2 linked regions of the Saccharomyces cerevisiae S288C genome follow. Each later gene encodes a partner of the first gene's protein in a complex. Each region holds a gene or a part of one and is shown on either strand. Other genes may lie near its edges. A codon is read from its position in the direction of its gene.

Region 1 (3,946 bases):
ATCAATCTGCATAAGCTTGAATGCGGCTCTAGACCTCAGATTTTGGACCTTGGCCTCTTTTGTGTAGGGATCCTTCAGTTGTCTATTCAGCCATCTGTTTTGTGAGTTAGAATTATACCGTACATGTATTCGACCTAAAGAAGACGATATTATACTCCTGATACGATTGTACACTAAAATCATGCTGTAATTTTCCCGTCAGTATGTGTAGTCATTACTTCAAACCTCGGATAAGCCCATCTTGATGGCTACGACTTCCATCTATATCAGAGGCTGACATTTTTCTCTCATTGACGGAGACGCCCTTTAACCGGACCTGATCATTTTTAAAAGAACGCCAGTAAAAGAGATCTTACAAATACCAGAGAAACGGTATTGAACCTTCTTCTTTGATTAGAACAAATTACTTGATCTTCTTTTTTAAAAAAGAACTGAAAAATCAAAAACGATACATGAAGATGGTATGTAAGTTAGCTAAATAACTTGCTTAATTTCAAGAAAGGGGACTGTAAAAAATTCAGTTTACTCTACCATTATCTCCATTAACATATCAACTTTTAGATCGCAATGAAGAAGACTGCGTTCATAAACCTTACCTCATAAGGCCAAACAGCTATCAGCTTTTGGCAAAAGTTGAATACGGACATTTTTGAACCCATACATCTTTCAATATGCACGGGTGCAACCTCAAATATTTAAAGTTTTTTTTTCCTGAAACTTTTTTTTCGCACACAATAATGCCATAGACATCTTTTGGCCTCAGATTGGAAAGTCCGAGGAAGAAAGACGCAATCAATGGGAAGAGTGTTGTATTTGGATTAAGATATGTAAGTACATCTTCGCAGCACTTCTTGAGCATTACGTTATTTGGTAACCTCTTGAAGTTTCAGGAAAGACTCCATAGAACTAGTCGCAAGCCTCACGGACCACCAAATACTTTGGAAGACTAATTACATATCATAAAATGTCTAAGATCACCTCTTCTCAAGTCAGAGAACACGTCAAGGAATTGTTGAAGTATTCCAACGAAACCAAGAAGAGAAACTTCTTGGAAACCGTCGAACTACAAGTCGGTTTGAAGAACTATGACCCTCAAAGAGACAAGCGTTTCTCTGGTTCTTTGAAGTTGCCAAACTGTCCAAGACCAAACATGTCCATCTGTATCTTCGGTGATGCTTTCGATGTTGACAGAGCTAAGTCTTGCGGTGTTGACGCTATGTCCGTCGATGACTTGAAGAAGTTGAACAAGAACAAGAAGTTAATCAAGAAGTTGTCTAAGAAGTACAACGCTTTCATTGCTTCCGAAGTTTTGATCAAGCAAGTTCCAAGACTATTGGGTCCTCAATTGTCCAAGGCTGGTAAGTTCCCAACCCCAGTTTCTCACAACGATGACTTGTACGGTAAGGTCACTGATGTCAGATCTACCATCAAGTTCCAATTGAAGAAGGTCTTGTGTTTGGCTGTTGCCGTTGGTAACGTTGAAATGGAAGAAGACGTTTTGGTTAACCAAATCTTGATGTCTGTTAACTTCTTTGTTTCTTTGTTGAAGAAGAACTGGCAAAATGTTGGTTCCTTGGTTGTTAAGTCCTCCATGGGTCCAGCTTTCAGATTGTACTAATCACTTCCGAGCGATTAATACATATCTCCATCTTTTTAAATACCTTTTTTAATACGTATGACTCTAAGTAGTAAAAGTATTATGCATAGTTTTAGCCAGATATTTTTGGGCCCGGAATATATCTTTTCGGGAAGCTCGGAGTATATTGCACCGATCCGATTCTTACTCCATATCATGCCATTTTTCTTTCCTTTCTCAGCGATGTTTTGTAGGAAATCACTTAGAACTTGCCTTACTTTAAAAGCATGTTGAGTGAATTTCACAGATCGATATGCTTTGGTGTTCAATCAGTTCAACCATACCTGCTATTATATAATCTTCGACTCGCATAATATAGGTATTCCATGCGCAAATAGATTACTTGCAAAATGGACATGACTAAAAACCACACCACTGACACAGAGGAGTTTGATGATGGTGATATACGTCCAGTCAGTTTGGGAATTGTGGACGATTATAACGCTTCGTTCGAATTACCTTTGAAACCAAAGTTTTTACAGAGTGAGAATTTCTCAGATTTAACAAGTGAATGGGACCAGTCTAGATCAAATACGCCTGGTCTTGCAGAAGGCAAGACTGAGAAAGCACAGCCATGCGGTACAACAGATAGTTCAAAAAATAGAATACATGTAGAGCAACTGTTGGAATCCGCTAATGAAATGAATAATTATTTGGCGCAGAATATAGAGAACATAAACAATTTTCAGGTGGGGCTATTGAATGGAGGGAAAGGATTATATAGTTCCATGGGTGATGATTCGAGCGCGTGTATTAATGGCACTAATTTTAGCTCAACGTCCAATTTTGAACTAAGTGATGATGAGCTAGAGGATACCACGGGTTGCACAAGTTCTATTTTTGATAAAGATCTTTTCCATCAACAAAACGGGCTAAGCATACCTCGCCGTAGATCACCACTCTTCAAATCTCCAACTGCCAGTTTCGAAATTGGCGATGCTACGGATGTGGAGGAGCAAGATATTGATGACTCCATTTTTTCTGAATGTAGCAGCATTACAAGCTTTGATATGGGAGGGTTGCATATCAGTCTACCACACGATGAAGAAGAAGATCAAGAAAAAACTAAGTCCGAAAGTGAAAACCCGTTGCTACATGGCATACCGGTTGATGTAGAAGTGCCCCACATATCGGTTGATGAAGCTCTGGCGAATTTCAAGGAAACCATAGAACTACTACTAAAACTTAGTGGCAATAGAAAGTGTACCGGTTTCAATACTAGAGTGGAGAAAAAAGAATACTCGAATTTCTACATGAAAAGTAAACCCACCTTATCATCAGCAGATTTTCTCAAGAGAATCCAAGACAAATGTGAGTACCAGCCAACTGTTTACCTTGTGGCAACATTTTTAATTGACACGTTGTTTTTAACAAGGGATGGCAATAACATTTTGCAGTTGAAGTTAAACTTACAGGAAAAGGAGGTCCATCGAATGATAATAGCAGCGGTTAGATTGAGCACGAAATTATTGGAAGATTTCGTTCACTCACATGAATATTTTAGTAAAGTATGCGGTATTTCGAAACGGCTTTTGACTAAATTAGAAGTCAGTCTATTGATCTGTGTGTGCAATACTAAATTAATGGTCAGTAACAGGAAATTAGCCGCCTCCAAATTACTTTTGAATGAACTACGGTCCTTCTGTGTATAGTTGATACAAGTATTTTAGATAATTATTTTAACGAACGTAACGAATGCTTTCCAGTCAATAGCGGCACTGGTAATATGATACAAACAATTTCTCAATAAAACAACGACAAACTTAGTCTGTTTATATTTCCGTGCAATGGTGGAAACCTGTACTCGATATTGGAGAAAACTTCAGAGCTTCCCAACAGTTATCCCGGATTCTTAATTGATGCTCTCGAAACGCACATAAAAATGTGATTTTTTTACTCGCATTAAATTACTGTTGAATCTATGGTTCAAACAAATGTATATTTGCCTACACATCTTTCTCTGTCCCTTCTGTATTGTCTAACCTTAAAATAGAAATATTTCATGGTTTTATTTCTTTTAAGTTTATTATCCATTTTTAACGTGGTGAGAAAACCCGAAATGAAAAATAATAAAGGAAAATTATAGAGGAAAAAAAGTGTAGAAATAGAAAAAAAATAAAAAGGATAATACCGATCAGAAAAATCCTCTTTCTTGCTCTTCTTCTTTTCTTTGTATTTCTCCTGAAAAAATTCAGAAAAACATATATTGGGTTAAATACATAACTATTTAAAAGGCTGTAAACAATTCAACTGACATTAGATACATCACACTCAATTACTGTTGGAAATAGGCAGATATATCCAGATTTT
Region 2 (3,633 bases), on another chromosome or scaffold:
GGTGGGAACTCTGCTGTATTGACCTGCGGAGATTTTAGTAAGTCCTCACTTGAATACACGACGGTTGCGGGGGCAATCACTTCGTGCGTCACCTTGACTGGGAAAAATCTCCCATTGTGTTCCAAATGAGGTACTTGTCTTTTCAAAGCAGGATGGGGTCTTAAAAGGATAGAAGGTATTATAACTTGCTCCTTTAACGATGATTGCACTTCAGGCGGGTAGATAGACCACGATTTGCGCTTCCTTGCATCTATGCCGAGACCTTTAATACTTTCACTCAGTAAAATATAACAAAGAGCACCATTGCCGCATCCCAAATCTCTAAATTGCATTTTTGAACGGAAGTCTGGACCGTACACTTTAATCCATAATTCAATCAGGAAAGCGGCAATGGCTATGTCTTCAAAAACATGTTTTTTTGGGTCTGTAGACTCTGCCCAATTCTCCACCAGGAACTTGGAGTATTTTTTCTTCAAAACAATGTATGTGTTCTGAAAATTGACTTTATTTACCACTTGATCGTGATTGACCCTCTTTTCATAACCCTGCATCACACCCTTTGAGTGTTTGTTAGCAGTTTGTAATAACCTATAAGCGGTTCTTACAACACGCTCAGATTCATCTGTAAAGGCAGTTTTATCCTCGGGGAAGGGAATGTAGTGTACAGAAAGAACTGACTGGTGTAACAAAATGCCTACACTTTGCGTTCTTGGAATATAAAACGGACAGTCTTTCTCAGAGTTAATGTGCGGCGTATATACAATCAATGAGGTCTCCTGAAAATTAGGGTCTTTGCTATTTAGGATTAAACATGTTTGGTTTATGATAGCATCTTTGTAAAAATTCCTAGGAATGATCCTTCTTACAAATTCATGAACGGGTGACAATTTTAAACTCTCAGATGTTTCACACGACCTTATGTTTAAATCTTCAATATTTATCTTCTTGACATCTTCTTCACCGCTTTCATTACCATTATCGATCTCAAACTTTTTTAATACGGACTCGTCAAATTTTGGCTCAGACCCAGCTTCTGCAGCATGATTGATCTCTTTCAAAATATCCGCTCTTAATATGACAGTAGAGTTAATATTTGGTTCTCTAATAACGTTCATCATTGCTTGCTCGAAGTGGGACTTTGCGAATGTTACTTTCCCATCCGTTTGGTAAAGGCTTAACCATTGAGGTCCTAGAATACTTTTATCATTCACAATAAACTTGAAGCGATCTTTGTGTTGATTTTGATTGTTTTTAGAAATATGTGCACTACCGTCGCCAGTCATTGTTGAGAGAAAGGAGAAGTATCACAAGATAGCAATATAATCGGACCAAATGCGTTGTCTATCTTGCGTAATGGAAATCGCATTTTCTAAATGATATGGTTTATTTCAAAGAATAATGTCATCGGGTTTTCCAAAATGCAAAAAATGAAATTTTTAACAATGCAGAGCAAAAAAGTGAAGAATAAGTGCACTACTAAAACCAAAAAAACAGGAAGAAGGTGCAAAAACGCAAAAAGTAGTTACCATAGTCCGTCCAGACACGTTAAATGAATTGATAGACACGGAGGGATAGACAGGCCGGATGCGCTACTTCTATCTATCCTAGACCCTTTGCTTGTCCTCTGTGTGCAGTTCATTTTCCGTACAAATCACCATACACGTAGACTCGTAAGCCCGTAGCTTTCTAATTGAAAGATAACAAAGGGAATCCAGTTTTACCATATAGCGTATAATTGCAGATAAGGGATATATAGCGCGGCAAACTGGGCAAACTTGAGCAATACCAATGTCTTCTTCTTCACAGTATGTAGTTTTCTAGTCAAGTATCATTGGAAAGTAAAGAACTAGAAATGATGAATACTAACATATATACGAGAAAAAATCAACCTCGAGCTCTATGAACAGATTTAAGCAGTTAGAAAAGCTTGGCAATGGTACGTATGCCACAGTGTACAAGGGACTGAACAAAACCACAGGGGTATATGTTGCCCTGAAAGAGGTAAAACTGGATTCAGAGGAAGGTACACCCTCTACGGCCATCCGTGAGATCTCCCTAATGAAAGAATTGAAACATGAGAACATTGTTAGACTTTATGACGTTATTCACACAGAGAACAAGTTGACTTTGGTTTTTGAATTCATGGACAACGATTTAAAGAAATACATGGATTCCCGCACCGTGGGCAACACACCAAGAGGGCTAGAACTAAACTTGGTTAAATACTTCCAGTGGCAACTACTGCAAGGGCTGGCCTTTTGCCATGAAAACAAGATTCTCCACCGTGATTTAAAACCTCAAAACCTATTAATCAACAAGAGAGGCCAGTTGAAATTGGGTGATTTCGGTCTGGCCCGTGCTTTCGGTATTCCGGTCAACACATTTTCAAGCGAAGTCGTAACGTTGTGGTACCGTGCTCCTGATGTGCTAATGGGTTCTAGGACGTACTCCACATCCATTGATATATGGTCGTGTGGGTGCATTCTTGCGGAAATGATAACGGGTAAGCCTTTGTTTCCTGGCACCAACGACGAAGAACAACTGAAATTGATCTTCGACATCATGGGCACTCCTAATGAGTCCCTATGGCCCAGTGTAACAAAGTTACCCAAATACAACCCAAATATCCAGCAACGACCACCAAGAGACCTACGTCAAGTATTGCAACCACACACCAAAGAACCGCTAGACGGGAATCTCATGGATTTCTTACACGGACTCTTGCAACTTAATCCGGATATGAGGCTGAGCGCCAAGCAGGCTCTGCATCACCCTTGGTTTGCAGAGTACTACCACCACGCTTCATAACGCAGCCCGTCAGCGAAAAACCGTAGCCATGTATATATAATGATAATAATCATCTATAATACACTACTATTACTTTAGTCTCATCTTACGACAGCCTTTACGACGGCTTTTACCGCCTTAAAGGCGGACAGGCTTTGTCTTCCGGAACGGAAAAACATGAAAATTTTTTATTTTTTTTCATTCGTTTATACCGCGAGTGAAAAAAAAAAAAAAGGAAACTGGAAACCTCTCGAATAACGATCGGTGAATGCTTCCCAAGCTGTTTTCGGTCTTCGTGTTGTGTCAAGTGAGAGAGCAGAACGTAAACGCAAACACAACGTCGGTTCTTTCCGTTGGCGTTCGTTGTTTGTTTATTCTCGTTTCTTTGAACCTGTTTGTTTATTTATTTTTAAACAGTCAATTAGTGAGAGTAACACACTTCTAATCTTGGCCTTCTTATTCGTAGCCACCCAGCTATTTTTGGTCTTGATCAGAACAAAGCAAGCAAAACCAAGAACAAACAGAAAGGGGAGAAATAGTTATCGGTTCGTTCCCTGGTTTTACTTCCTTTTTTTTTTCTTTCATTTTATAACACACAACTCCAGCAGTCTGACGCTCACCAATAAGATCAATTTCGTTTAATTGCTTTGCTCGCCCTCACACACGTTATAGTTATGTCGTCTTCCTCACTTCGAGTTTTAGCTATTGGGAACAACCCGAATATCTTGTTCTACACCTCAAGGTTTCAACTGGCCAAGAATATAGACCTCTACCACGTCAACGATTCAAAATCATGTCAATTTGAAATTGAAACTGAATACTACGGCAAAGACCGGTTCGAATTGG

Evidence for each region.
Region 2: the proteins of PCL10 (region 1) and PHO85 are in contact, whole or in part, in a crystal structure (PDB 4KRD), measured with the Saccharomyces cerevisiae proteins. Residues at the interface, in NP_011381.1 of Saccharomyces cerevisiae: Val257 (codon at 2,755), Glu296 (codon at 2,872), Glu322 (codon at 2,950), Gln324 (codon at 2,956), Thr326 (codon at 2,962), Leu369 (codon at 3,091), Lys372 (codon at 3,100), Leu373 (codon at 3,103), Leu374 (codon at 3,106), Glu375 (codon at 3,109), Asp376 (codon at 3,112), Phe377 (codon at 3,115), His381 (codon at 3,127), Lys392 (codon at 3,160), Arg393 (codon at 3,163), Thr396 (codon at 3,172), Glu399 (codon at 3,181), Val400 (codon at 3,184), Leu403 (codon at 3,193), Ile404 (codon at 3,196), Cys407 (codon at 3,205), Asn408 (codon at 3,208), Thr409 (codon at 3,211), Lys410 (codon at 3,214), Leu411 (codon at 3,217), Met412 (codon at 3,220), Val413 (codon at 3,223), Ser414 (codon at 3,226), Asn415 (codon at 3,229), Lys417 (codon at 3,235); in NP_015294.1 of Saccharomyces cerevisiae: Leu40 (codon at 2,008), Asp41 (codon at 2,011), Ser42 (codon at 2,014), Glu43 (codon at 2,017), Glu44 (codon at 2,020), Gly45 (codon at 2,023), Thr46 (codon at 2,026), Ser48 (codon at 2,032), Ile51 (codon at 2,041), Arg52 (codon at 2,044), Ile54 (codon at 2,050), Ser55 (codon at 2,053), Leu56 (codon at 2,056), Met57 (codon at 2,059), Lys58 (codon at 2,062), Glu59 (codon at 2,065), Leu60 (codon at 2,068), Val71 (codon at 2,101), His73 (codon at 2,107), Leu78 (codon at 2,122), Asn127 (codon at 2,269), Lys128 (codon at 2,272), Ile129 (codon at 2,275), Arg132 (codon at 2,284), Arg156 (codon at 2,356), Ala157 (codon at 2,359), Gly159 (codon at 2,365), Ile160 (codon at 2,368), Pro161 (codon at 2,371), Val162 (codon at 2,374).

The regions. Positions count from the first base shown.
Region 1 is NC_001139.9:253,677-257,622, forward strand, and holds PCL10 (Pcl10p), read left to right. Parts: upstream 1-1,986; coding exon 1,987-3,288; downstream 3,289-3,946. Other genes in the region: MRM2 (21S rRNA (uridine2791-2'-O) methyltransferase), read right to left, coding at 1-183; 60S ribosomal protein uL1 RPL1B, read left to right, coding at 965-1,618. UniProt on the Saccharomyces cerevisiae protein: Cyclin partner of the cyclin-dependent kinase (CDK) PHO85. Together with cyclin PCL8, negatively controls glycogen accumulation under favorable growth conditions.
Region 2 is NC_001148.4:491,193-494,825, reverse strand, and holds PHO85 (cyclin-dependent serine/threonine-protein kinase PHO85), read left to right. Parts: upstream 1-1,788; coding exon 1,789-1,805; intron 1,806-1,907; coding exon 1,908-2,808; downstream 2,809-3,633. Other genes in the region: TRM44 (tRNA (uracil) methyltransferase), read right to left, coding at 1-1,283; SVL3 (Svl3p), read left to right, coding at 3,462-3,633.